Linked DNA regions of Mus musculus. The protein of the gene in region 1 interacts with the protein of each later gene in a biochemical or structural test. Links are inferred from orthologs where the notes say so. Each region holds a gene or a part of one and is shown in the gene's direction. Other genes may lie near its edges. The genes, in order: Fgfr1, Fgf8, Fgf4, Fgf6, Plcg1, Nedd4 and Ncam1.

Region 1 (3,500 bases):
CGGGTGCTGGGATTAAAGAAGCTACTGAACATAGCCTGTATTTACACAAAGTGCATCCCATTTGGGGAGTGAGGCTAGCTATAGCCGGCATAGTAGTGTACACCTTTAGTCCCTGCACTCTACAGGATGTATGTTTTTGAGTTTTGTTTTTGAAGCCAGCCTTGTCTACATCTCTACATCATGAGACACCCTGTCTTAAAACATCCACCAAAAAGGCAGCTCTGGGGCAGGAGAGATTGCCCAGCTGTTAAGAGAGCCTGACACTCTTGTAGAGTGGAATTGGTTGCCAGCATTCACATAGCTTGTTTACAGTTGCCTGTAACTTCAGGTCCTGGGGATCTGGCACCCCGTTCTGGCCCACCCGCCTTGGGCTCCTGCATACACATGGGACATACTCACACAGGCTCATATAGATACATATAAGTTTTAAAAACAATAAGACATCTTTGGGGGAAAGAGAGAGAGAGAGAAAGGAAAGCAGGCAGCTCCAGCCCTCAGGAAACTCATTCCAGAAGATTCTGATTGCAGGCTGGTCAGCCGGAGGCTTTAGAAGTAGCCTCAAGGCCCAGGTGTCTAGATCTGCCTGGGTTTCTCAAAGGCTGATGTCCAGAGAATACTGATTCCTCAGCTGCTGTTATGGATACCCAAGTGGTACTGTTAGCTGAGTGGCCTTGGTGTATAGGCTGGAATTAAATAAATTTGGGGGAAAAAAAGGAGCTGGCCCTGATAGAGCCATCTGAACTTTTAGGCAGAAGGCAGTGCGCTGGGGCCGGGATGAGCACTGGAGCACACAGCTCTTAAACACAAACTGTCACTGAGGCAAAATTCAGGAAAATTGGGAGTCCTTATGGGACGGCTGTTGCGTTATCCATGTCACCGCGTTGACCGCAGTGAGGTGGTCTGTCTAGACAGGGCGAATGCTGTTTGGATGGAGGTCTAGACGCTCCTCAGTCCCCCTCCTTCCTCTCACAGATGCACTCCCATCCTCGGAAGATGATGACGACGACGATGACTCCTCCTCGGAGGAGAAAGAGACGGACAACACCAAACCAAACCGTAGGCGTGAGACACTGTTTTCTATCTTACTGCCTTCGAGACTGGGAGCTGGGACTTAGAGGAAGGCCTGGCTAAAGTGGGAGGAGAGAGGCTCAGAGGGCCTGGGGGCCATGGTGCCTGGTTGCTGCCTCTCTAGAAGACCTAGGGTACTTACTGAACAGGTAGACGGGAGGCATGGGGTCCTGCCTGGGCCCTGGCTTCTGAGCCTGGCCGCCCCTGCTGCCCTCATTCGTCTCCTTTGGCTTTTCCTGTACAGCTGTAGCTCCCTACTGGACATCCCCAGAGAAAATGGAGAAGAAACTGCATGCGGTGCCCGCTGCCAAGACGGTGAAGTTCAAGTGCCCGTCGAGTGGGACACCCAACCCCACTCTGCGCTGGTTGAAAAATGGCAAAGAGTTTAAGCCTGACCACCGAATTGGAGGCTACAAGGTACGCGTGTGTACATACCAAAGAAAAGTTAGAGTAAGGCGCTAGAGCGGGGACTGGGATAGCAAGTCTCTATTATCTGCTATGATTACTTTGGGTTTTGTTGTTGTTTTGGTTGCCTTTGTAAAGGTGAGATTTTGTTGTTGTTGTTTTAGTTTAAAGTTTATTTTATAATGGTTTCACGTGTATGTATGTGTGTGTGTATGTATGTGTGTGTGTGTGTATATATGTATGTATGTGCCACATGTGTGCCTAATGCCTACAGAGGTCTGAAGAGGGTGTCAGATTCCTGGGAATTGCAGTGTTTTGATTTTTACTACTTTAGAATTTTTTTATTTGCGGGAGGATATGCATATGTGGAGATCAGAGGAAAACTGGGAGGACTCAGTTCTCCTTCACCTAGGTGGGTCCTGAATATCGCTCTCAGGTCAGCAGGCTTGGTCACAAGTCCCTTTCTTTACCAGTTGAGTCACCTTACAGGCCACCATTCACCCTCCCCTCCCTCCCTCTTCTCTTCCTTTCTCTCTCTCCCTCCCTCCCTTTGGTTTTTGAGACAGGGTCTCACTCTCTCCTTAGCTCTGCCTGGCCTAGAACTCACTATGCAGACCAGGCTGCCCTCAGGCTCACAGAGATCCACCTGCCTCTGCAATCCGGGCCCTAGGATAAAAGAGGGGCGTGTGCCACCACGACTGGTCCTCTTGTGCACTTTTAAAGGACCTTTCTCAGGACCGATTCCTGGAAGTGGAATTGTCAGATCCGACGGGGTAGATCTGTTTTAAGCTCTTAGTGCCCATAATCCATTTCCCTCTCTCCCATGCCTTTCCCCAGTGCTTCCGCTTCCCTGTTGGGTGTTAGAAGCCTGCACTGTTGAGTTTCATCTTCAGCCCCCAAGTCCTAAAAGGAAAAACCAGTCACCTTCCGTAACAGAATATTCGAATGACAGACTCACTAGACATTTGCCAAGAAGTACAGCTGGGTGAACACGTTTGTGTTGCTTTTTGATACCATTAGGCACTTCCTATGCTGATAAGCTGCTTCCTCTCCCTCCGGGGGGTCAAGTCCTTTGTATTTGTAGGAAGAACATTTTGATGAGAATCTCTTCCTTAGAGATCTGATGAGTCTCCAAGGTCCCCAAATATGTCTCTTTTCTCATACCTTTTTAACTTTTTTTTTACTGTGTTCCTTCTCTATGTGCCCCAGACTGGCCTGAACTTCCATTGCTGCTCCTGTCTTAGCCTTCCATGTGCTGAGATCACAGAGATGTGCCACCATGCATGGCTGTTCATTGCTCCTGTATAAGAAAAGTGAGAGGGGATGGCTGGAGAGGCAGCTTAGTGATTAAGCAGATAGCACTCTACTCTGGTCCAGAGGACCAGAGTCTGGTTTCCAGCACTCACCTCGGGCAACTCACCACCACCTATAACTCCAGCTTCAGGGTTTCTGTGGACACCTACACTCACATGTGCGCGCACACACACCCACACACACCCACACACACACACACACACACACACACACAATCTTTTTCTTTCTCTATTCATTATTAATTATTTGTTCTCCCCGCTCCCACCCCCAATCAGGGTTTCTCTGTGTAGCTCTGGCTGGCCTAGAACTAGCTCTATAGATCCGGCTGGCCTGGAATTCAGAGATCTGCCTGTCTCTGCCTCTTGAGTACTGGGATTAAAAGTGTTCACCACCACCAGTTCTTTTTCTCCTTCCTTCCTTCCTTCCTTCCTTCCTTCCTTCCTTCCTTCCTTCCTTCCTTCCTTCCTTCCTTCCTTCCTTCCTTCCTTCCTTCCTTTTTTAAAGAAAGAATATGGGGAAAGCTTTACCTGGCCTTACTTACCAAGTCCTTTTGTTTGCAAGTTAGGATTTTGTAACCACATCTGAAGGCGACTGTCAAAGGGCAGCTGTGGTAAGCAGCCTGCAGGGGGAGCTCCTCCATGCAAGAGCACGGGAAGGAGGAGGACGGGTCTGACCAGAGTCAACTAGAAGCAACGGGGGTTTCTGTGTGATAT
Region 2 (4,174 bases), on another chromosome or scaffold:
TTGCTCAGCACTTGAAGGGCTGAGATGGACTCCCCTAACCATATATATATATATATATATATATATATATATATATATATATATTACTCCGTGTTTGCATTTGCAAGATGGGATGCATAAAAGGGGGGCGGCAGGCCGAACCGGATGGGGACTGACAAGGGCCTGCTTGCCTCTCTTTAGCCTACAAAGACTTTCTGGGGCCACCGCAAACCCCTAGTTCTACCCCGGAGGCACAGAGGATCAGTAGAGGGGAGGCTGTGGATGAAGGCAGAGCTGGGTGGTACATCCACGGAGCCACCTGGTCTTCAAAAATACCTGGCCTGGGAAATCTCTGTGCCTGCGGTAACAAAATAGTGGCTCAGGGTTCCCAGAAACCCTATGGAGAAAGCAATGGGGCGACGGGCTTGAAAAGGCTTACAGAAGTCTCTACCTTCTCACCAGCACCTCCCTCTTCCAAGTGACACAAGACACCAGGTACCTGCTCAAGGAAAACCTGGAACTCAGAAGGGGAAAGGCTAGGCAGCTTGGGTCCGTGTCCTGAATGTTGCTGAACGTAGTTATTTTTGCCCCTGCTAATTGCTCAGAAGCAGTGGCTGTGGGTCCTTCAGAGACCCCTGAGCTCTTACCACATAGACGCTTCAAGGTTTTTCTTAAGCTTTATAGACTAGTGCAGTTGGATGGACAGGAGCAAGGCTGAAGGTGATAATGGGGTGGCAAGGGGCATTTCTCCCTCCCAGAGCCTCTTTGGAGACTGTGAGACAGAAAACCAGCGGGGTTGGGTTTTTAGAAAGGTGAAGGCACCGGGTTCCAGTGGCGCCCAAGGGGACGCTCAGCACCGGGGCCCAGTTCACTGTTAGCTGCAGGCTCCCAAGAGGGGCGCGTGCGACCGCAGCACACATTAGGCGACCCAGAGACCTTCTAGGAGGCCAGAGATAAGCAGACCCGACCCTAAGCAGATCAACAGTCCTGCAGGACTCAAGTGTACGGGACCCCACTAAACATGTTGTCCCAGACGCCCCCCAATCCCTGGACGATCCCGCCCCCGGAACGCTGGAAGAGACAGGCAAGGGTAGTGGGAGGCGCCCACACCAGCCGCCCCCGCCCCTCCCGCGGGTCCCTAGACCCCTCCCCTGGGCCAGACCCCCCAATCCCTGCTCTGCCCGCCGCCCCGCCCCCGGCCGCCCCGCCCCCGCCCCGGGCGGCGACCCGGCCCCAGCGCCCAGCCGGGGGTGCGGGCTCCGGCCGCCCGCCCCGCGCTCCCCCCTCGCGGCCGGTGCGGCGCCCCCCGCCCCTGCCCTCCCCCTCCCTTCCCACCTCCCCACCCACCCCACAGGCCCGTTACCCTCCCGCCTGCTCGGGCTCCTGAGCAGCCAGCGGCCACCGGCTCCAGCAGCGGCTCAGAGGGGTTCGGCGCGCGCGGCGAGCACGACATTCCACGAGCCGCGTCGGGATAGCCGCTGGCCTCCCGCACCCCGACCTCCCTCAGCCTCCGCACCTTCGGCTTGTCCCCCCGCGGCCTCCAGTGGGACGGCGTGACCCCGCTCGGGCTCTCAGTGCTCCCGGGGCCGCGCGCCATGGGCAGCCCCCGCTCCGCGCTGAGCTGCCTGTGAGTACCGCGGTCGCCCCCGCGTCCCCGTCGGCCAGCGCCCGCCGAGCCCTCTCCGCTCACCCCGCGCCTCTTTCCTGCCCGCTTTTGTCTCCCACAGGCTGTTGCACTTGCTGGTTCTCTGCCTCCAAGCCCAGGTAAGGAGCGCTGCGCAGAAGCGGGGGCCGGGCGCGGGGAACCCAGCTGACACTCTCGGGCAGGGACACGAGGACCGACCCTTCGGCCAGCGCAGCAGGGCTGGAAAGAACTTTACAAATCCAGCCCCAAACTACCCCGAGGAGGGATCTAAGGAACAGAGAGACAGTGTCCTGCCTAAAGTCACACAGCGAGTGAGTGGAGAGACTAGAACCCAAGGGTCTTGAGCCCAGCGACTGGCCAGTTCGGGTGGATGGGAAGGCTACCTGTAGCCACACCTGGCCTCCTAGGAAGGCGGGAGCTGGAGTCAGCGGGTGTTCCTTGTCAAGGGTAGTTGGGATGTAGTTGCAGCGAATATCCTCGCCGCTGCTCTCTGGGGAGACCTGTGGCCGGTTTGGGCCAACGATCGTGTTAACCTAGGCCCTTTGCATTCTCAACATTTGCTCCGTAAATTTGTCTTTATAAATGTCACGGGTCGGGTAGCGTTGCCTCGCTACTTAAAAGCACCCTGCTCCTCTAGGAAGGCCCGGGCGGGGGGCCTGCGCTGGGCAGGGAGCCCACTTCCCTGCTCCGAGCTGGCCGGGAGCCCCAGGGTGTTTCCCAACAGGTGGGTCCAGACTCCCTCATTCCCGGGTTCATCCATCCATCCTGGGCTGGGTCTGCGCGACTTCCCCGAGGGGGTTGGTGGCCTGAGCCGGCATGTTGTGGGGATGCCCCCAGTCCCCGCTGGCTGCCTGGCGCGGCGGGAGGCGGGTACAAGGGCAATGGGGACCAACTCGGGGCCCCTGGGCGGAGTAGCGTTATAATGGCGTGCTGTGTATTTTTCAATTTCCTAAAGGTAACTGTTCAGTCCTCACCTAATTTTACACAGCATGTGAGGGAGCAGAGCCTGGTGACGGATCAGCTCAGCCGCCGCCTCATCCGGACCTACCAGCTCTACAGCCGCACCAGCGGGAAGCACGTGCAGGTCCTGGCCAACAAGCGCATCAACGCCATGGCAGAAGACGGAGACCCCTTCGGTAAGGTGCATTCCCGGACCCTGGAGAGGAGAGGTAGCTTGGACCTCGCCGCCCCTTGCCAGCCCCAGCTGCATCAGCCAGAAAGGCCTGCGGGCTCTCCACCTGAGAAGGGAAGGAGTTAAGACGAAAAGGTGCCTTGGGGTCAGCTGGAGAGAATAGTGGGGAAGGGACCCTGGGGAGGACGAGGCCAACAGGTGCCCTCTCTTCCCTGCTCCGCAAATGAATGAATCCAGGAGTCTCCCTTACAATCTTCACACACCTCTACCCGGCTGCAGGTGGAGGCAGAGGGTTCAGAGGAGAGGCCCAAATTTAAGGGGAGTTCTTGAAAGAGGATATGTCGCCAGGGCCCACAAAAGGAGAGTGGGAAAAAGAAAGTAGAGAAATCCCCCAGTTCGCCCAGTTTGAAAAAGGGACAGAACTGCTAACTGATCAGAAGGGTCAATTGCACAGGGAGACTCGGCCTGCAAGTTAGACTCCGGGCTCCACTGTGGATACCCCAGGGGACTGAGTCGGCTGGCGGCTTCCCGCAGGGCTGCTGAGTACAGGGAGCTACTGGGGCAGGGGCTGAGAACTGATTGATTTCTACAACATTCAATATTCTTGTCTTGAAATGGGGCCAATTTCCAGACTCCTTGGATGTACCACAAGGAAGCCAAACCCTCAGGGTGGCTGGTGTTGTTTTTAGAGAGTGGGATATTGTAAGTTTAAAAACCTTTAAATAATGACCAACTTAAGCGAGCATGAAAGGAGAAAGGAAAACTCTATTAAAATGTAATAAAAAGGTGAGGCATTTTAAGAGCTAAGAAGAAAAATGGAGAATGATATAAAACAGAAAAAGAACCAGGCGTTTTCTTTTTCAGATGTAGAGTTTGAAAGGAGTTGCAAGTCTGTAAATGTTAAAAAGAGAGAGAGAGAGAGGCTCAGGATTGTTCTCTGCGAATCTCTGGAGAGACCCCCGCGTCTGGCAGAGCGATTAAAACTATTCTTACTTTCACCTTTTTTAACGTTTCCTGAATACTTTCTCCTCTTCTCGAGCCAGTTTGGGGGATCGAGTATGTCTCGCTGCATTTTTTTTTCAGCATCGACATAGCTGACTTCCCTTCAAAGCTAGAGGAGGAGACATAATTTTCCTGGGATAAATCTGTCACTGGGGTGGAAGAATAGGTTCGAAAATGTTAAGCTTTCCAAAAGCCTGCTTGGGAAAGTCTCTGTAAACTACACGGCCAGGCTCCCCTGATCGATCCGAGGAGACCAGAGGGGGGGACTCTTTGGGTGGGGGTGGGGGCAGCCTGCCTGGTGGCCGAGCTCCCCCCGCTGGGCTGGCAGAGCTGGCCTTCAGGCCCTTTGTCCCTCCAAATTGGCTGCTTGCTGCCCTTCTCGGCTTCCCAACAAGAAAAAGGAAAGAATGCCGAGC
Region 3 (4,219 bases), on another chromosome or scaffold:
GGGCAATGATCTAGATCTGATCCAGCCTGGGCCCAGCCCCAGAAAGGAACACCCAGGAGTGCCCAGACTAAGGCCTGCAGCCCTCCTCCAGTGACACAGCAGGGGATCTAGGGAACCCTGTTACAGGAAGGGATGTTTCTCAGCAGGGTGTGTGTATGCATGCTTATGTGTGTACATCCATGAGTGTGTGTGTGTGTGTGTGTGTGTGCGCGCGCGCGCGCGTGTGTGCGTGCGCACACGTGTTCGTGGGAGCCTGTGCACAGCTGACTTTGCTCCCTAGCAAGCAAGGCCAGCAGCAGCTCTACCTGCCACTGGAGGATGCGGTTATCCCAGGCTGCCAGGTGCATCAGAATGCCTCATTAAGGGATTTGGAGACATGGTGTAATCCCCACTAAGGGATAGATAGATGCTCAAGTGTCTCCTCTAGGTCTCAGGACCTGGCTGCATTTCCGTTGGTGTTCTGAGTAGGACCAGGAATGATTGGTGCAAGCCCAATGACAGAGGTTTGGCAGAAGGAAGCCACAGCTCCCAGAAGCTCTGGTCCAAATTACTGATTCCTCGGTGAGGGGGTGCAGCAGGCTCTTCGGCTCCTCCATCAGTGGCCAGGTCACCTGCTGGCTCCAGGTTCCTCAGATACCACAGAACAGGGACATTCACACCTAGGAGAACAGTACCAGGGTTCTGCCCAGTTCACCCCCATCAGGCCAGAATGGCCACAGTTGGGTGTGGGGGTGCTGGTGGGGGAAGGGACCCTTCCAGATCCTTAGAGTTTGACATGCTCCTGGGTTGGGAAGTTCTGGCCTCCACACTTGAAAATCTCTGGGGAACTGATGCCCAATGTCTTGCCAGCTTTCTGTCCTTGCCTTGGGTTACCTAGGAGGAAAGTGCGGGTCTCTGCTGTCCCTGAATGTCCTCAACCTGAGTTCTCTTAGAAGCACCCACTCCGTAGTTTAGACTTCCCATCACCTGGAAGACCCTTAAATTTCCAAGCCTCTGGGGCCAGACCAAGCCTTGCCTCCCTCCCTCCGATCGTGCCCTACCTCCCGGCTCCCTTAGAGTTACACCCTGATAGCCAAGCCACAGTGTGACTTGCCTCCCACCGTCAGCTCAAGCCAGTCCTTGGCGCAGCAGAAAGGTTCTGGCGGTTCACCAAGTGTCCCGCAAGGAAGGAGCACAGGAGATGCCCTGGGGAGCAGAGAGCCAAGGGGCGGGATCAACAGGTTCGAGTGCGGGGCGGAGCCAAGAGTAAGGGGTTGGGGTCTCTCCAGGTGACAGTAGCCACCGCCAGGCCCGCGCCTCCTCCCCCGGCGGTGATTGGCAGGCGGCCTGCGCCCCGGCTCCCAGGCGACCGACGCCCCGCGGGGCAGGCGAGTAGGAGGGGGCGCCGGCTATATATACCACTGCTCCGGAGGGCTGGGCGCGCGGGGACTATCCCGCCACCGTTGCGTCCCTATTTGCTCTCGCTACTTAGGTCTGTGCGCAGCACTCACCGAACTCACGGCCCGCAGCTCGAACTCACGCACGGCCCGCGGGCCGGGATGGCGAAACGCGGGCCGACCACAGGGACGCTGCTGCCCAGGGTCCTGCTGGCCCTGGTGGTGGCCCTGGCGGACCGAGGGACCGCCGCACCCAACGGCACGCGGCACGCAGAATTGGGGCACGGCTGGGACGGCTTGGTGGCCCGCTCGCTGGCACGCCTGCCGGTGGCCGCGCAGCCCCCGCAGGCGGCGGTCCGCAGCGGCGCAGGGGACTACCTGCTGGGCCTCAAAAGGCTTCGGCGGCTCTACTGCAACGTGGGCATCGGATTCCACCTGCAGGTGCTGCCCGACGGCCGCATCGGTGGTGTGCACGCAGACACGAGGGACAGTGAGTTCTGGGCGCGCCGAGGGGATAGGGTCCCGGGCAGTAGTAGTCTCGGGGGCTGAGTAGAGTCGAGCTCCCACCCCTTGGGCTCCAGGACTGAGAGCGCACCCGGCGGCCGAGCCCCGCCTCCCGCCTTCGGAAGCCTGGTCTCTCGGTGCGGAATTCCATCGCCTTCACCCGCCCGCACCCACGGGAGCCCGGGACAAGCGCCCAGACTGAGGCTGGACTTGAGGGCCACCGGTAGACAGGAGATGAGCTCTTAAAGCTTGCTTTGGGGACCCTGGGCTTTTCACCCCAGCATCGAGATCCCAAGAGGCTTAGAGTCGGAGGGTCTGTGTGGGTCCAGGGTCACCTAGGCTTTTCTGACCTGCGATCCCTCCCCCCCAACCCCCGCCTCCCCAGGTCTTCTGGAGCTCTCTCCGGTGCAGCGAGGCGTGGTGAGCATCTTCGGAGTGGCCAGCCGGTTCTTCGTGGCCATGAGCAGCAGGGGCAAGCTCTTCGGTGTGGTGAGTGCCAGCGGGTCTGGCTGGGCCACCTGCTCGATACAGTGTGCAAGACTAGCGGGATTGTAAACCCTTCACCCCACACATACACTTGTGTGTTGGTCACAGAGGACTGGCAGTAGGATTGCCAGGTCTCACGTTTTCAGTCAAAGTAGCCAGAGCCAGGCTGGGTTTCTAGACCAAGGGAACTACCCCATCCAATTTCCTCCTGAGTGAGGTACTTACTGATTGGGGCGGGTGGGGCGGGGAGAGGGGTACTCCAGCAGGAGATATTAAGTTGATAGGGGCAAAGCAGGTGAGCTAGCTATGCCTAGCGTGGACTTATCACCTCTTCGAAATCTGGGACAGTTTTGACACTCCGCCTACCTAAGAAAGATCTCTTGGGTCCCGATTGCGGCAGGTCCCTGGCTCACCCAGTACCCTCTTTCCCAGCCTTTCTTTACCGACGAGTGTAAATTCAAAGAAATACTTCTGCCCAACAACTACAACGCCTACGAATCCTACGCGTACCCCGGTATGTTCATGGCCCTCAGTAAGAACGGGCGGACCAAGAAGGGGAACCGAGTGTCGCCTACCATGAAGGTAACCCACTTCCTTCCTAGACTGTGACCCTCCGGAGCCCTGCCTCAGCCTCGGAAGCACACCCTACCCCTCAGGAGGAGCACTTTCTCTCGATGGAGAATTGTTTGCAAAAAAACTGGTCTAAGATATTTAAATTATTTAAATATGTATATATGGACGCCCAATTATTTATAATTTTATGTATTCTCATTTTCGGGGGGGGGGATATGACCAAAAGAACAAACAAATTGCAGCTCAGACCTCTTTGGAATAGCGGAACAGACTTCTTTCTTCACTATCAAAGATATGGGTGTGATGCTGTTTCATGTGTGCCTCTAAAACTTGGTGACATCAGTTTCCAAGGGTGCCTGGCCTGTAACTGGAAAGGCCTGCCTGGGACCTCTGAGGCAGTGAGAAGGACCCTGAGCGTTCCCGATCGGGAGCATTCTGCCGTCGCCGCTCCCTCTGCTTCCTTTGGTATGAACCCTGTCGGATCGGTTTACTCCAGGGACAGAAGTCCTCCCGCCTCTGTTTTTAGATCTCCAAGACTGATCTTTGAACTCTCTTGCAGTCAATCATCTTCTTGGACCTACCGGATAGGAGACCCTTAGACAACTTTATAAACTCCTGTTTGCCATTTTTGGACTGGCCAACAGGGCACGTTGCTTGTAGCCACTGGAACTTTGCTTTTCTGGAGAGGAACTAGGAATGGACAAGAGGGTGTGTGCGCTCGCCACAACTCAAAACTCTGGGGATGAAATTCTGTTTTGTGATAGAGGATGATTTGTTGGGATATAACAATGTATTTTGCAAGAATCAAACTGAGAAAAACAGGCTTCCCTGAATATGGGAAGCTTTGTGCTGGAACTCCATAATTTAAGGGTGAGCTGCCCTTTCCCACCCCAGGCAGCCTTTATGCAGGCAGACTGCAGGAGTCCGAATTCCGGTGCTGCCCCAAGGTGAAGGAATTCTATCCCCATCTACCTCAGAGTTCCTGAGACCCTGGTGACTAAGCTGGAGGCTCTGCTGGGTGCATCTGCCTGCTTCTCTTCCACATGTAGTATCTGGACCCTTGTCACGTTCCAGCTATCTTTACCCAATGATTTACTTTTAGTAAGGGGTATTCATGGTGAAAATATGCACGACCAGCTGTCGGAGTGCACTATATGGTCACCAAGTCAAGTAACCCTTATATTTTTCTTTATATATTTTACGAATGTAACCCCTGTCACTGAGACCAAAATGGAAGAGCAGGGTCGGTGGCATTTAAAAAAAAGGGCTGAGGTGAGGGA
Region 4 (3,966 bases), on another chromosome or scaffold:
CCCATGTTCAATCCCCGGCACCACATACAACCAGGCTTGTTCGCTCATTCCTGCTGTACAAGTTCTGAAGATCAAGGTCAGCATCTTCAACCACACAATGAATTTGAACGTTTTGTCTTGGTGAAACGATTGCTCAATGGTTTATAATAAGGAAGGAATAATAAGGAAGATGCGTGGTGGTCCTTGAAAATTTATTTATAAGCAATGTCCTGAACAGCCTCTGGACCTGTGCAGAATCTGCAGGTTCTGACCCTTCTACTTACTGCCTGCCCACAGTAATTCAGACAAGCCACGTAACTTCTTTGTGACTTGACTTTTGCAACTGTTAAGTGGGAATGCTATTAGAGGCCAATGGTGAACTGAAGCAGGGGGATAGCCTGATACCACTGTCACTGAAGACCATGGCCAGAAAGGGTGAGCAGGAGAAGGTGACCCATCCCTCCTTGTCTCCACAGCCCTCGTTTCTCCGGACAAACCCTCTCCTATATGCCCAATACAGAATATGCCCTGTTCTGGTAGATGGGCCCTTCTCTGCCATGAGCTCTTTCCATGAATAGGTCTTGAGAGCCACTTGTAGGCCACCATCCATCACCTGCCATCACGCCCTCCCCATCTTTCTTTACCCTTTGCCCTCTAAGGAAGCCAGTGCAGTGGGGCCAAGGGCTACTGCCCAATTTGGGTCCTGGGTGGCCTCTGCCTCCCTCTTCCCTGGGCCCCCAGCCAGCTCCACCCTCCCGCAGAGATGCTCTCTGCTAACTTCATTCCTGCCTCTAGCTGGAATGACAGTGGCTCTCAGAATCCCTGGGGACTGGAGAGGGTGGTGAGGGTCTGGGGAAGCAGCCAGGCCCAGGAGCAGGTTAATGTTACAGCCCTGGGTAAGTGAGCTGGGCCGGCTGACGTCAGGGTGGTGATGGGTGAAGGGGAGGGCCGGGTTACTGAACTATAGGTCAAATCAAAGAGAATCACCTTGGGACAGAGCCCTGCATGCCGGCTAGAGAACGTCCCCACGCCATGGTCTATACCGGCCACAGCTCAGCCTGGGTCCTTCTGCTCTCAATCCGAGTGCCTGAAGCAGGCTTTGGTTTCATGTCAGCAGCCTTCATCTGCCTTCCAAAAATAAGCCCCTGCCGCCATGCCGAGGGGAGAAAAACAAGAAGGGCGGTATTTTTAGGGCCATTAATTCTGACCACGTGCCTGAGAGGCAAGGTGGATGGCCCTGGGACAGAGGCTGTTCATCACTATGTCCCGGGGAGCAGGACGTGTTCAGGGCACGCTGCAGGCTCTCGTCTTCTTAGGCGTCCTAGTGGGCATGGTGGTGCCCTCACCTGCCGGCGCCCGCGCCAACGGCACGCTACTGGACTCCAGAGGCTGGGGCACCCTCTTGTCCAGGTCTCGAGCTGGGCTAGCTGGAGAGATTTCGGGTGTGAATTGGGAAAGCGGCTATTTGGTGGGCATTAAGCGACAGCGGAGACTCTACTGCAACGTGGGCATTGGCTTCCACCTCCAGGTGCCTCCTGACGGCCGCATCAGTGGAACACACGAGGAGAACCCCTACAGTGAGTGTCACTAGAAGATAGTTGGGGTGCTTGCTGGCTTGGGCACAAGCAGAGTCAAAAGATGAAGGGAAATTATGCTGGTGGGTGGGGCTGCACTCTAAAGGGAAGATGTGCTGGGTAACGTTTAAATGGTTTGATCTCACCCTGCCCTGCCCAGAAAGAGGTGCAGGCTCAGTAAGACCTTTACTTGCATCTTGGTGTCCTTAACCATCATCCCAGGTAACTCCATCAATGATCCTAATTACTCCAGTATTAGTGGTCCAGATCTGGTCTTCCTGAAGAATTATAACTACTCTGGTAGGGGAGATAAGTTATGATACTCTATCTTGGTTAAAACCATGAGTTTCTATTCAGCTGTCATTTTTGAAAGGGAAGGGCAAGTAGTCTGAAAAATGCCCGTCTGAAGCATCTCCTTGGTGCCATGCTTCAGGTGCCTGCATTGACAGTATTCTGGCCAAGGCAGGGTAAGGGCTGTAGGGTCCCAGACAAGCCATCTGGCTCAGTGTAGCTGCAGTGTTTGGGGACTGAGTTGAAGGATGTAGAACAGACTTTAAATAATCAAAATTGATTGATTGATTGAGTGAGTGAGTGAGTGAGTGAGTGAGTGAGTGAGTGTGTGTGGTGTGTGTGTATGTGTGTGTATGTGTATGCTTGTGTGTGTGTGTGTGTGTGTTGTTGAGAATTAAACCCAGGGACCCAGGACATGTCATGCAAGTACTGTACCACTGAGCTATATCTCCAACCCCCACTCCAATCCTTCAAGTCGAGAACCTCAGGTGACAGATCTACGGAAAGCCCAGATGCAAAGCTAATCTTAAATAGATGCTTGAGTGTCCGTTGCAATCTCCAACTCCAGTGTAAAAACTTTTCCACAAGGAACTGAATGTGCTACCAGGATGTGACCGGATGCAGCTAGTGTCGTGTAGGGATGCTATAGGACTGTCTAGATCAAGGACAGATGTGATGGAGAGGTGGAGCCTCTGGAGAAGGGGGACAGCGGGATGCCTCTGAAGTACTCGGGTTGACGTGAGCATGAGAGTGTGTTCTCTGTTTCCTCGTCAGGCCTGCTGGAGATCTCCACGGTAGAACGGGGTGTGGTGAGCCTCTTCGGGGTGAAGAGTGCTCTCTTCATTGCCATGAACAGTAAAGGAAGACTGTACACAACGGTGAGTTCTGCGGTGAGGGGATGCTCCTGGGTTCTTCCCGGTCACACCATTGAAAACATATAACACTGAGAGTTGAGGGGGTTTTATTTTGTTTTGGTTTTGTTTTTTGAGAATTAGAAAGGGCTGCGAAAGGAGCTTTTGCTGGCAAGGTGCCTTGAAGCTTACACTTCCTCTGTTTCACTGTGAAACCTCTGCACAAGCCTGTAGTTCTTCCAACCCACAACCGAGACCTTTGCCCTTAAAGAAGCCATAGTTCAGAGAGCTCTTGGGTAGGGAAGCCTGCATTCTGACCAAAACTGTCATTCAAGCTCATAATCAGGTCTGAGTTGCTGAACTGGAGAGGCCTAGAAAGGCAGGCCTGTGGGTCAGCCTGGGTGAGCTGCCCCCCATGACACCCCCAGAAAGGCAGGCCTGTGGGTCAGCCTGGGTGAGCTGCCCCCATGACACCCCTTCAGGAGACACTGTCGGAGAGGTACAGATCTGTAGAAGGAGCCTATCTCTCCTCTTCACTAGTGATGAGAGACTGTAGCTGAGTTTAACAGCCTCTGGTCTCTGATCCCATAGTCTATGGTAGTATCTCCCTCTGTCATACCTTCCCAGAAGGCACTGGACCCCGCCTCTCTACACCATAGACCACTGTGGGAGGACCAATGCTAAGAGACAAATTCTCCTCTGGTGTAAGGGCAAGCATTTACTGTGTTCTCTAAGGCCTCTGTTTTCTCTGCCCCACTCACTTCCAGGGCTCTCGGCCTGCAACATGGCCTATTTCAAAATGTGTCGGAAAGACAGTCTATGAAATTTTTATGTCTTAGACAGAAGTAAGGAAGCTGGATCTAGTAAGTGGTAGATCTCATATGTGTGGGAACGCAGGGAAGTTCGGCCCCTAGCACCAAAACATGAGAGGGCAGTGGCTAAAGAGAAAGGAACCTCAGATGCACTAGAAGAGAGCATAGAGTCTGATTCTCCAGTCACTTGGGGGAACAAGATAGGGGATAGAAAGGGAAGAGCTGACCGGGGACAAGTGCTAGGTCCCCAGGGAAATCTCTCAGCAAAGGATATCTGGAAAAGACTAAAGTGAGCTAGTCAGAGGGTGTCTACTTCCCAACTTTTTGAGCAAGTGTCTCAAAGTTGGCTTATGGTGTGAGCTAAAACCATTGCTTCTCCAGTACCGTTCTGTGGGCGCTCCTGTGCACCCATCACTTTGTAATCTGCTAGATGCATGGAATTTTAGGACCTGCTTCAGA
Region 5 (3,500 bases), on another chromosome or scaffold:
CACAATGCTGAGGATTTTGTTAGTGTGCCCCGGAGGGCAAGGTACTGAAAGATCCAGTGGCTGGCAGGCTAGACCCTGCCTGGATTTAGCCTGGAATGAAAAGAAAGATTATAAATAGTGGAGCCCCTGAAGGAGAAGACTACAAAGAACAGTGTGGGGAGTGCCTGAGTAGGCTGCAGCTAAGATCGGGAACGGGAGGAGGAAGGCTGCATTGGCCATGGGGACGTGAGATGGTAAGGTCGTCTAAGGCACACACATTGCCAGGTGGGCTTAAGGCCTTAGTGCTTCAGGGAACCGGGAAGCAGTGTTTTTGCTGAAGGACGAGGCTAGGTAAAGAATAATCAGAAAGCATTATTGGGAGGGCCTTGCCGACCTTAGCTCCATGTGAGGTCATTTGGCACTTAAGTTATGGTGAGACTTCCACCCCAAGAGGGTTGGGGAACAAGTGTATCTGTGGAGACGAAGAAAGAGATAATTTTTGGCCAAAACTGGGAGCCAGTAGTTTTGTTTAGTGTCTGCTGCTATTTAAAATGTGCAAGGAGAGAAGAGGGCCTCAGAACACCTGAAGTGTGTGTGTACCCAAGGCTGGTAGGAGCTTCCTTCTCCTGGGCAGGGCTCAGCCTGGGCCTTGTGTGTGTCACCAGCTCACTGAGGGAAAGATGATGGAGAGGAGGAAGAAGATCGCCTTGGAGCTCTCCGAGCTTGTGGTCTACTGCCGGCCCGTTCCCTTTGATGAAGAGAGTAAGGCTGGGGCCAGGTGTGGTGTGCATGTGCTGAGGGGCTGGTGGCTTGAGAGTGGCGTTTAATACCCTGTCCCTTACATACACTACACAAGGGGGCCGCTCTATACACGCTCTCACTGTTTGGCTCAGAGATTGGCACAGAACGTGCTTGTTACCGGGACATGTCCTCCTTTCCGGAAACCAAGGCTGAGAAGTATGTGAACAAGGCCAAAGGCAAGAAGTTCCTCCAGTACAACCGGCTGCAGCTCTCGCGCATCTACCCTAAGGGCCAGAGGCTAGACTCCTCCAATTATGACCCTCTGCCCATGTGGATCTGCGGTAGCCAGCTTGTAGCACTCAATTTCCAGACCCCAGGTGAGGGGGTCTCTGTGGGTGGGGAGAGACACTTAGGGCAGTTCCACTGGAGCACACTGTAATCCCACTCTTGCAGACAAGCCTATGCAGATGAACCAGGCCCTCTTCATGGCTGGTGGGCATTGTGGCTATGTGCTGCAGCCAAGCACCATGAGAGACGAAGCCTTTGACCCCTTTGATAAGAGCAGTCTCCGAGGTCTGGAACCCTGTGTCATTTGCATTGAGGTGAGTATATTTGTCTGGGTTCTTCAGGGTGGGAAAGGGTTATGAAGACCATTGATACTAAACCTGCTAAGAAGGTGGCGACCAGGTGGGTCAGCACAAGTGGGAAAGGGTACAGGGCCAGAGGTGAGCAGCATTTCTGCTTTACATTGGGGAAGAGAACTTATCTTGGTCTATTCCTGAGCTTGAAGTAGGACCACCTGAAGTGGAAATCCAGCTACAGGTTCTCTGTGAGGTTGGGATCCCAGGGGTAGCATGGCTGATCATGGCCAGTTTTTGGCACAAATGAGTTAGGATGTCGGGTTAAAGCTAACCTGTGAAAAGTCACTACCTGGAAGGAAAAACCTGGTCAGAATGACACAAATCAGGCTAAAAGGGGCCTGTGCTGAGCCAGGCTCCTGTCTGCAGGACCAAGCAAAACCTGAGCTTGCTAGAGCATGACCAGCAGCCTGTTTGCCTTTCCCAGTTCCTAGAATAGAGCTCCCCAGTCCATGTCTGGTGAAATGCTGTGATCAAGGGTCAGCTCAGCCTTCGCTATGGGAATCAGCAGGGGTGGCCTGAACAGTCTGGAAAGAGTAAGAATAGTCTATGGCCAGCTGAGCACACTTAGGAGCACAGAGCCACAGATGGACATGACTGCTACTTTCCAGATATTCCCTCTAAAGTGGAATAATTTAAAAGATTCCCACATTGGAACAGACATGGATTTAACATGAAATGGACTGCCAAGTACGCATGATACTTAGCTAAAGCTCAGGGTTTTACAGCCAACAGCTTGCTCTGGAGTGAACAATGAGCGGCCTAATGGGCAGCACCTTCAGGGCCCAGCAGGGGGCATACTGCCTCCATGGTGCATTTTCCTCCACGATTTGCTCCCCAAGCTTCTGCTGGGAGGATGTTCGGGGTGCTGGGGGGATGTCATCACCCCATCTCTGCCTGCCTGCCTCACAGGTGCTGGGGGCCAGGCATCTGCCGAAGAATGGCCGGGGTATTGTGTGTCCTTTTGTGGAGATTGAGGTGGCTGGGGCTGAGTACGACAGCACCAAGCAAAAGACGGAGTTTGTAGGTAAGTCAGTCTTCCCTCATTACCCATCATTCCCCTGGGGTGTTAAAGACCTCTCCACCAGTCATCACATCCCGTAGATGTGGCCTCAGCTTTTGCCCTTGCTTTCACAGTGGACAACGGACTGAACCCTGTGTGGCCTGCTAAGCCCTTCCACTTCCAGATCAGTAACCCAGAGTTTGCCTTTCTGCGCTTTGTGGTGTATGAGGAAGACATGTTTAGTGACCAGAACTTCTTGGCTCAGGCTACTTTCCCAGTAAAAGGCCTGAAGACAGGTGAGGAATCTTCCTTATAAAGTCTTGCTGTCAGGATGGGGCTTATCCACTTGCTTGACACTTGATAGGCTGAGAGCCAGGTATTTCTCTTAGGATATAGAGCAGTGCCTTTGAAGAACAACTACAGTGAAGACCTGGAGTTGGCCTCCCTGCTCATCAAGATTGACATTTTCCCTGCTAAGGTAACTACAGCAGCGTGAGCAGAGAGTTCAGTCATAGCCCCTGAGATGCAGAAGAGACCTCAACTTTTGTGCACTTCCCTTGCTGAGCAGGAGAACGGTGACCTCAGTCCTTTCAGTGGCATATCCCTAAGGGAACGGGCCTCAGATGCCTCCAGCCAGCTGTTCCATGTCCGGGCCCGGGAAGGGTCCTTTGAAGCCAGATACCAGCAGCCATTTGAAGATTTCCGCATCTCGCAGGAGCATCTAGCAGACCATTTTGACAGTCGGGAACGAAGGTGAGGGAGATGAGGGGAAGTTAGCCAGTGTGGGACCTTGGAGGAAGGGTGCTGGAGCCAGAAAGATCAATCCTTTGGCAGCTTTCTCCTCTGTGGAAAAGGGATAACCGTGTGTCTTGGGTTGTCCTGTCTGGCTGCAAGGCCAGTAAGGACACTTCACTTCTGTTCAGGGCCCCAAGAAGGACTCGGGTCAATGGAGACAACCGCCTCTAGTCAGACCCCACCTAGTTGGAGAGCAGCAGGTGCTGTCCACCTGTGGAATGCCATGAACTGGGTTCTCTGGGAGCTGTCTACTGTAAAGCCTTCTTGGTCTCACAGCCTGGAGCCTGGATTCCAGCAGTGAAGGCTAGACAAAACCAAGCCATTAATGATATGTATTGTTTTGG
Region 6 (3,983 bases), on another chromosome or scaffold:
ACTCGTAATTCTACCTCAGAGGCCATGCTAGTGGGCAAAGATGTAAACAAGGGCCTGCCTTGTTTATATTATGAAATATGTGGCCTGGTTTGTATGTCTTGTCTTTATAGGTGTCTAACAGCTGCCTGGGTTGTTTTAAAGCACCAGTAGGGCCCGCAGAGGACTCTCCGAGAACAGGATTGCCATTGAGATATGTTTATTTGATGTGTTAAATCCTTTTTAGGCTTCTTTACTTACCACAACACTCTCTTTAAGTGAATGAATTGCACACAGTGGAATAAAATATCCAATGTGTTCAGACTATATTGGGGTGTAGCTTTTCTGTCTAATCTGCATATGTTTTTAATGGAATGTTTACCCAGGCTATTTCTTGGCAGGATTTTAATAGTCAAAATATAAATGGCATCATTTAAAGACTGTACTACTTGGCTGCATTAAACGTTAAAATTACAGGACAAAATGGTTGGTGACAGCTTCTCCTCAGCCTTTTTTTAAAAATTTCCCCTTGAGGAGGTTATTTGGTGTTTACAACAATGTTACTGGGCTCGTTTTGTAGTTCAGTTTGTCAACTTTCACTTTCATAATTGTGTTTTGCTAAAATATTTACCTTGTTCAATTTGACGGTTAGGCTTTATGCCCCTCACCCCACGTTTTTGTATTTCCAAGTTATTCAGCTGTTTTCATTTACTCATTCCTGAAAAAATATTACAGTCCGCGTAGTCCCTGCATTAAACCTGACTAAATCTCTCAGTATGGCCATATTTTGAAATTCAATCTTTAATTTGATACTCAATCACACAGGTTTTATTTGTACCCATTTCCTGTAATCCTATAGCATTCAGTGAAAATATTAGCGGTGAGGATCACCGGGGGAAGTTGTAGGCACTGAGATTTCGGGAGTTAAATGTTCGTTTTGTAGGGCTGGGGTGAAAAACTAGGTTTCCCAGTTGAAATTGAAGAAGCTTGTTGTTCTTGCGTTACTCATTCATGCAAATTGGCGAAGGTATAATTGAAACAAGGTTGGCTGTGTTTGAGTCAGGGCTGCAGCTGAGCTCAGCTTAAAGGTCGCTGGAAATCAAGTGCTTTGTCAGTGAAGGCGTTCTGACTCCCGGCGATTCTAGACACTTGGGGAACGTCAATCTCGGGCATGGGTCGTCCTTTTCTATGAAATCTGGTATCTGAAGTTAAAGACGCCTCCCCACGAGCTTTTTCAACACCGCCGATGGTTTTTTCCTCTGGATGCAGCACAGCTGCGCTAGCCTGACTACAGACAGAGCTCTTTGTTTTGACTCTCAGCCCTGAACATGCTTGGAAATGAGAACAAATGGCACAGAGTTTACGACTGCACTTTGCCGCCAGAAGAAGCAAGACTTACCCTCTGTCGGAACCCTCTGGAGATGACTTGGATAGCCACGTTGACACACACGGCCAGAGGCGGCCCCGGATCTCAGTGGCTAGTGTGGTTCAAATGAGGCTGACCCCCAGACAGGCGCCACAGGCTCCGTGGGTAGAGCATAGATCCTCTGAAAGTACTGACAAAAAGAGCAGCTGCCTGCAGATCTCACTGCAGCCCAGATACGGAGGGTGTCTTCCATCTGACACTGTCGTGGCTGATAGGGACAGTACTTCCTCTACCTGTGCTTCAAAGGATGATGTTTGCAGCAGCAGTGGAATTGACAGTGAGCTGGACAATGGCAGCCTCAGTAACTTCTCAGCCAGTGACAGTGGGTCTTACAGCAGCAGTGGCAGTGACTGTGGGTCTTGTGCAAGCCTCGCAAGTGGAGGCTCCTCCACCGGCAGTGGTGTCAGCGACAGTAGTGGCTATGAGACCTTTTTCAGTGGAAATTTACCTTCTGACAACGCCTCCAACAGAAGCGTGCCAGTCGACACTACACCCCGTGAAGTTATGTGCGGAAGTCCCAGTAGACTTCCCTTTGCCCAGGAGGACCTGGATCGTGGAGTAGAGATTATGAAACTGCCAGTGAGTAGGAACGCAAAGGGTCCACTGAAGCGCTGCACGTCTTTGGTCATTTTCCCCAGGAGTCCTTCAAACACCCCACCAGCATCCCCGACGAGCAGAGGTGCCTACCAGACCTCACACCAGTTGGTTGTATCACCTACTGAAACTGCACATCATGAAGATGGATCTGGCACCAAAGGCTTTCTGTCAACAGCTGTCAACGGGCTTCGATTATCTAAAATGGTTTGTACTCCTGGAGAAGTCAGAGATGTACGGCCACTCCATGCCAAGGGCTCATTGCAAAAGAAAATTGTCATTTCAAATAATAGGCCCAAACAAACTGTGTGTGAGAAGTTGCCAGAAGGATTTTCCTGTGTTTCCGTGCACTTGACCCAACAAAAACCAACGACATCAGATTGTGCAAACCCCCGTGGTGGCTGCACATCAGAGAGGTTAGAACTTCAGCTGCAGTCTGATTTGGACCATGGCATGCTCAAACAGAGGGCATCCCCTTGCTTGCCAACCGCATCAGACATGGGTTACCATTTAAACATCCGTGGAGAGTTGGAAAGACCAAATTCACCGATAAGCAAAGGCCATGCTGCTTTGCAAAGAAGTGTTTCGCTGGGTGGGACATACCCAAATATTTCCTGCTTATCCAGCCTGAAGCACAATTGTTCAAAGGGGGGACCATCTCAGTTGCTCATTAAGTTTGCATCTGGGAATGATGGTAAAGTTGATAGTTTCTGGAGACAGAGAGACTTGACAAATGAACTGTCTGATGTTTGTAAGGTAAGATTCCTCTGGTCTTGAAAAAATACTTCCTGGAATTCTTAGCTATACTGATTATACTTGATTATAGCACTATCTGTTCCTTTCTGTGGCCCTTAGTGAGGAAGTTTTTAGAAAGCTTCAATTTTATATTTGTAAAGCTCTTTCTTATTTTACCAATGGATAAACTACTTTTAAAACAAACAAACAAAAAAAAAACCAAAAAAACCTTTCCTTGGTGATTTAAATCCTAAAATTCTTCCAGAACTGGCTCGATGTCATAACACTCGATCTTGGGATATTTGTTCTTCTTACCTTCAGAAATGGGATTTTCTTCTCCCTCTTAAAACACATGTATTTGTAAGATCGCTGATCAAAAAGACTATTATATTGAATGTTTCAAGCAGAGGAAAAGTAAGTGGGCTTTGCATTTACATACACCCTAGCCACAGGAATGCTGTTTGCACCCTATTTTTCCTGAGTTCCCAGTGATCGCTGTCTCCCAAAATGTAACTCACTTTTTCAGCAGTATTGATTTCTAAGTTTTATGTGTTTGAATTGGCTTAAACGTACTAGGTAGTTTCTATAATTTTCAATTTACTACACTAGTTTATTGTTCTCACAATGTTGCTTTATTTTATTAGTAATTTAGCTCTAACAGATCTTAGCCAGATTGGCATTTTATGTAATTTGGCCTTTTCAAATTATTTACAATCTTTAAAACTAAAGTAGCCTTTACCATGTCTGTATTTGGAAGGTTTTGCAAAATTCCAGGAAATTTAATTGTTTTTCTGACGACATTAGCTCTAGATTGACAACACATATGCTGGCTGGCGTGCTCTATTTCTTTCTTGTGAAGGGACCTTGCTTCTTTTCATGGCAATGCCTGTATTAAATGTTGGAGGAGTGTGGGGGGAATCCAGATAATGTCTAGACAGATGGAGTTAGAAAATTAGGTAATTGGGCTCTTTTTTCTCTCTTTTGAAATCTGGAAAATATAATCATTGTGTCCACCCAAGGTTAATCTACGCAGCTACTTCACTGGGGATAAGAGAAGATTAGATTTCAAAGTTTGATCTTTGTTTTAGAGTTATTCATTCCACTTGCAAAATTTTTCTAAAACAGTTTTTGGAACATTATAATCGGTTTAATTCTCTTCCCCAAAGTGCTGGGTCCTTAAAGCAGCATTAGTACTCTGCCAATTCAGTCGATGTTACTCACAGAGTCTACATTCAAAGAAACCTAAGAAGTT
Region 7 (4,037 bases), on another chromosome or scaffold:
AATTGTTTATAATCACCATAAGGCAAAAATTTAAAAAGTGAACATGAAAGATTCCTGGGAGACAGACTGCTTCTCATGGATCCTTGGAACCCGCAGCATGTGATAGGACTGGGTACATTATACAGAGGAAAGGAGAGCTGGATGGTGACTGGTCAGCTAGCAGAAGGTGGGTTTTCTGACTGCTAAAGCATCAAGGAGTCTGCCCTTTAAAGAACATTGCAGGGCTTGGGATTGTGTGTGAACTGGCTCTTTGGTCTGTCAGAGGGCTTCACTGAGCAGAGCCACTTCTGGAGCACCCTCACTTGTATTTCCTGCACAACTCAAGCCCCACTCAGGTGCTAAAGAGTGTTGATTTCACTATGTTCCCATCCCCTCTTTTAACAAACAAGGCTGCTTGATTAATGGAAGTCTTTGTGTTGATATCTCAGTCATATTGTATTTTCATAGCCTTAAGAGTGGAGGTCTCCCGCTGAAGGAGGATGCTTGCTGTCGCTCCTGTGCCTTAATACACACAGAAGAGCCAGGGCAAAGGAGGGAGAGAGAGGGAGGATCCCAATACCAGTTTCTGGTTATTCCTGAATATTACTTATAAATGGCTCTGCATTTTCTTTTGACTGGCTTCCCCACCCCCTACTTCTGAGATCTGAGTTGTGCTGCTGTGAGTTGCTCCCTCTGTGGGAAGATGAACTTCATAGCCAGGAGAAAACAAACAACAAAACAAACCTCCACAGCCCTCAGCTCTCTCCAAATTTCCAATTTCCTTCTCTTAGGAGGAAGAGGAAAAGAAGGAGAAGGAGGAGGAGGAGGAGGAGGAGGAGGAGGAGGAGGAGGAGGAGGAGAAGGAAAAGAAGGAAAAGAAGGAAAAGAAGGAGAAGAAGGAGAAGAAGGAGAAGAAGGAGAAGAAGGAGAAGAAGAAGAAGCAGAAGCAGCCATATGCTTTTTATTGCAAGGACTTTAGTAACTAAACTGGAGGGGGGGGTGTCCACAACTTTGAAAATCGAACCGAATCTAAAATTCTTTTTCCCCCTAATTATTAAAAACGTTCAAATTCCTGATTAAGGAACGCCGGAGGGCAGAATGATCTCCAAAGACGTGAATGAAGGAAAAGGGTGAAAAGAAATCCCAGCTCTGCCTGGAAGGTTCCCTGTGAAAGAGCCCGGCTCCCTTGGTAACTCCAGGCCGCGTTTTACAGGCAGCCGCATCTGCCTCCCCTGTCTCTTACCTCCTGGATGTTAGGAACTATTTGTGGTCGGCGTGGTGGAAGGACACAGTGAGGCTCTCACCTCCGCCCCCCGCCCGTCGCTCGCATCCCCAGTTCCATCAAAGCCAACCCGGGCCAGCGCAGGGATCTCCGAGTTGCGAGTGTGCTGAGGCTGGGACTGTCACTCATTCTCCGCTCAGCGCGTGAACGCAGCTCGGCAGTGGCTGGCAAGAAACAATTCTGCAAAAATAATCATACCCAGCCTGGCAATTGTCTGCTCCTCGGTCCATTGCTCCGCCGCCGTCCACAGTCGCTTGCAAGGGGAAGGCACTGAATTTACCGCGGCCAGAACATCCCTCCCAGCCGGCAGTTTACAATGCTGCGAACTAAGGATCTCATCTGGACTTTGTTTTTCCTGGGAACTGCAGGTACATTTTAATTTAATTTAATTAAAAAAAATCTACATCGGGTCTGTTAATTGTCCGCTTGCCCCTGTCTTCTCTCCCTATCCCCGAGAAGCCCGGTTCTTTTGGCTGGTTTTGTGTGTAAAGCAAAGACAGCATTTTCACTGAGCTGAGAAGGGAGCGCATCGTATCGTCCTTGCTTGGCCAGCCAAACCCGTGCCCTCCGGGACGGCGCTGGACGCGGCTGCCTCCCCGCTCAGTGGCGGCCGCGCACGCCCTTCCCACTTGTGTGCCCGCGGAGGTGGGACAGGGGTATGGGGACCGGGATGCTGCCGTGATGGGCAGCGCTGCTTTCCCCTTCCCCGAAGGCGGGTGGCGGATGCGTGGCTCGGGTGGTGTCGCCCCCCAGGCTCATCTTTCACCTAGAGGTGTTTGTCAAGCTTCGAGAAGAGTGAACAATAAGGCTGGGGCAGTTTTACCCCCACCGTTATGTCCCGGGCTGGGGTAAAGTGAGGCTTGCAGCCTTCGCTTACTCCCCCGTCTTCCCCGCCCCGAATAACGGTTTGCAAAATGGGGCAACCACCGGCAGCACCGCAGGGCCCTGTGGTCGTTCCTGCACCCCCGTGCAAATGACGTTAGTTTTTCATTTGCCAAATTGCTGGGTAGTTGCAAAACCTGCCCTCGGCCGGGAGCACGGAGGGATGGGAGGGTCCAGCGCCGCGTTTTGACAGGAGGAAGTGCAGAGGGGCGGAGGGTGAGGAGGGCGTGATCGGGGCTGCCTGGTTGTGTGTGTGTGCGCGCGCGTGTGCGCGCGTGTGCCTTTACACGCACCGAGAGCCTAGGGTTGCACGGTGCCAGCGAAGAATGGCAGGTAGCCAGCTGCCCAAGACACCTCTTCCTTTCTCTGGGCGATATTCCTGATCCTGGCAAAGTGTGAACAATGGGGAGCTCGGGAGAAAGACCGTAGCGACGCTGTCGCGGGTGGCGAGGGCTGTGCCACCGCCCAGAGATCCTTAGCATTCGGGAAGGGGGCGCATTGCATTTTGGCTATTTCCATCTCGGCTTTCCCTGGAAAATTCCTCAGTGTGCCCACCCTCCCTTCCAGCTGCTGCCCCTACCCCACCCAAGGATTTGTGCTTTGGCGTCCCAATGGACTGGGAGAGGGGGAAGCAAAGGGCACTGGGGCCGCCGAGAGCTGGGTGGGATGGGCCGACAGCTGGGGCGGGGGGGGGGCGTGTGCTGCCAAGCACCAGCTGAAAGCAGGCTAGGCGGAGGAGACCGCGCATGGCTGTGGCTTCTGCCTGGTGTGGCTGTACTGGTCCAGATCTCTAAGCCTTGGGTGTGGAGCCCACAGAGCGGCCCCGGGAGCACCCAGTGCGCCCCCCTCCGAGGGCAGCAAGAGAGCAGAGCTGGGCCACCGCCTCCAGCCAACTCTGATCGGCGACCAATCAGAGCGAGGCTGGCTGGGCGGGAAGCCGCGAGAGGCTTTTATTGCGGCGCGGGTGGCGCCCAAGCTGCCAGGATGGTCCCCGGGTGTTCTAGCTTAACGGTCTCGCTCGCCTCCCGTTGGGAGAGACCCCGCCCTGTTACTGCCCCTAGCTGCACGGCCGTTTTCGAGGACGTAAAATGGAGAAGGATAGGCCCTGGGACATCTCTTGGTCCAGCTAGCTTATTCTCGCCCACTCGTGCTTCTTTCTTGGCGCTTTGGAGCATTCAGGCTCCCTGTCCATGGCGCACAGTTGCGACGGAGCGCTTCGCTTGCGAGTGCAGAAGACAGCAGCTCCCAAGCTGTGTCCCGGAGAGCAGACGCGCCTGCGCTGACCCTCTGGCCAAGGACTAGACGCTGGGGTGGAGGGGCGTGGCGGGGTGTGGTAGGGCGTGTCTTGACAGGGCGTGCCAAATGGGTCCTCGCCACCACCAAGCCCTGGACTGGCAGAGGCGTGCCCTTCCCTGTGGTGCTGTGGGTGACCTCCTCTTAGGGTGTGTTTACTGAGACCATCCTTCTGGATAGCAGCATGACAATGGAGACCTAATCTTCCATGATGCGTCTTTTTAGGATCTCCTTGTGGTCTTCTCCATAATGGAGATGGGTGTAACCCTCAGTGTTCCTATCCTGGTGGGAGCTGAGGGAGGGAATCCTACAGTGGCGTGATACTGGATGCTCAGGCAAGACTGGCATCCTAACCAGTGTTCCCTGGAACGAAAGAATCCTTATTCTGCCCCTAAACCCAGGCGGCGAGGACGAAGAGAAAGAAGCACATACCAGCCTGTTTAACAAAAGAAAGTGGTTTTACAAAGAGAATTTTCAATTAAAGTATTGTTTTAACCAGCTTAAAAAAAAATCTAGAGAATTCAGACCAAAGGGTTTGGAAGGATATAAAAGAAGGATATATATGAATATCCCCCGTCATTAAGCTGCAAATGCTGTAGAG

Evidence for each region.
Region 2: the proteins of Fgfr1 (region 1) and Fgf8 interact in a biophysical measurement, tested with the Homo sapiens proteins (2 studies listed by BioGRID and IntAct, with this or other methods). The link is inferred for Mus musculus from reciprocal best matches to the Homo sapiens genes FGFR1 and FGF8.
Region 3: the proteins of Fgfr1 (region 1) and Fgf4 form a complex in vitro, tested with the Homo sapiens proteins (2 studies listed by BioGRID and IntAct, with this or other methods). The link is inferred for Mus musculus from reciprocal best matches to the Homo sapiens genes FGFR1 and FGF4.
Region 4: the proteins of Fgfr1 (region 1) and Fgf6 interact in a biophysical measurement, tested with the Homo sapiens proteins (2 studies listed by BioGRID and IntAct, with this or other methods). The link is inferred for Mus musculus from reciprocal best matches to the Homo sapiens genes FGFR1 and FGF6.
Region 5: the proteins of Fgfr1 (region 1) and Plcg1 form a complex in vitro, tested with the Homo sapiens proteins (4 studies listed by BioGRID and IntAct, with this or other methods). The link is inferred for Mus musculus from reciprocal best matches to the Homo sapiens genes FGFR1 and PLCG1.
Region 6: the proteins of Fgfr1 (region 1) and Nedd4 form a complex in vitro, tested with the Homo sapiens proteins (2 studies listed by BioGRID and IntAct, with this or other methods). The link is inferred for Mus musculus from reciprocal best matches to the Homo sapiens genes FGFR1 and NEDD4.
Region 7: the proteins of Fgfr1 (region 1) and Ncam1 form a complex in vitro, tested with the Homo sapiens proteins (2 studies listed by BioGRID and IntAct). The link is inferred for Mus musculus from reciprocal best matches to the Homo sapiens genes FGFR1 and NCAM1.

What each region holds. Positions count from the first base shown.
Region 1 is NC_000074.6:25,556,759-25,560,258, forward strand, and holds part of Fgfr1 (fibroblast growth factor receptor 1 isoform 1 precursor), read left to right. Parts: intron 1-972; coding exon 973-1,062; intron 1,063-1,312; coding exon 1,313-1,485; intron 1,486-3,500. UniProt on the Homo sapiens protein: Tyrosine-protein kinase that acts as a cell-surface receptor for fibroblast growth factors and plays an essential role in the regulation of embryonic development, cell proliferation, differentiation and migration.
Region 2 is NC_000085.6:45,740,085-45,744,258, reverse strand, and holds the start of Fgf8 (fibroblast growth factor 8 isoform 2 precursor), read left to right. Parts: upstream 1-1,374; 5' UTR 1,375-1,574; coding exon 1,575-1,606; intron 1,607-1,706; coding exon 1,707-1,743; coding exon of another isoform or gene 1,744-1,935; intron 1,936-2,261; coding exon 2,262-2,348; intron 2,349-2,579; coding exon 2,580-2,760; intron 2,761-4,174. UniProt on the Homo sapiens protein: Plays an important role in the regulation of embryonic development, cell proliferation, cell differentiation and cell migration. Required for normal brain, eye, ear and limb development during embryogenesis.
Region 3 is NC_000073.6:144,859,967-144,864,185, forward strand, and holds the start of Fgf4 (fibroblast growth factor 4 precursor), read left to right. Parts: upstream 1-1,419; 5' UTR 1,420-1,538; coding exon 1,539-1,866; intron 1,867-2,265; coding exon 2,266-2,369; intron 2,370-2,798; coding exon 2,799-2,975; 3' UTR 2,976-4,219. UniProt on the Homo sapiens protein: Plays an important role in the regulation of embryonic development, cell proliferation, and cell differentiation. Required for normal limb and cardiac valve development during embryogenesis.
Region 4 is NC_000072.6:127,014,376-127,018,341, forward strand, and holds the start of Fgf6 (fibroblast growth factor 6 precursor), read left to right. Parts: upstream 1-1,166; 5' UTR 1,167-1,210; coding exon 1,211-1,556; intron 1,557-2,618; coding exon 2,619-2,722; intron 2,723-3,966. UniProt on the Homo sapiens protein: Plays an important role in the regulation of cell proliferation, cell differentiation, angiogenesis and myogenesis, and is required for normal muscle regeneration.
Region 5 is NC_000068.7:160,758,810-160,762,309, forward strand, and holds part of Plcg1 (1-phosphatidylinositol 4,5-bisphosphate phosphodiesterase gamma-1), read left to right. Parts: intron 1-644; coding exon 645-741; intron 742-872; coding exon 873-1,097; intron 1,098-1,173; coding exon 1,174-1,322; intron 1,323-2,270; coding exon 2,271-2,385; intron 2,386-2,495; coding exon 2,496-2,657; intron 2,658-2,750; coding exon 2,751-2,839; intron 2,840-2,929; coding exon 2,930-3,114; intron 3,115-3,500. UniProt on the Homo sapiens protein: Mediates the production of the second messenger molecules diacylglycerol (DAG) and inositol 1,4,5-trisphosphate (IP3). Plays an important role in the regulation of intracellular signaling cascades.
Region 6 is NC_000075.6:72,692,115-72,696,097, forward strand, and holds the start of Nedd4 (E3 ubiquitin-protein ligase NEDD4), read left to right. Parts: upstream 1-1,183; 5' UTR 1,184-1,324; coding exon 1,325-2,752; intron 2,753-3,983. UniProt on the Homo sapiens protein: E3 ubiquitin-protein ligase which accepts ubiquitin from an E2 ubiquitin-conjugating enzyme in the form of a thioester and then directly transfers the ubiquitin to targeted substrates. Specifically ubiquitinates 'Lys-63' in target proteins.
Region 7 is NC_000075.6:49,796,270-49,800,306, reverse strand, and holds the start of Ncam1 (neural cell adhesion molecule 1 isoform 3 precursor), read left to right. Parts: upstream 1-1,237; 5' UTR 1,238-1,577; coding exon 1,578-1,629; intron 1,630-4,037.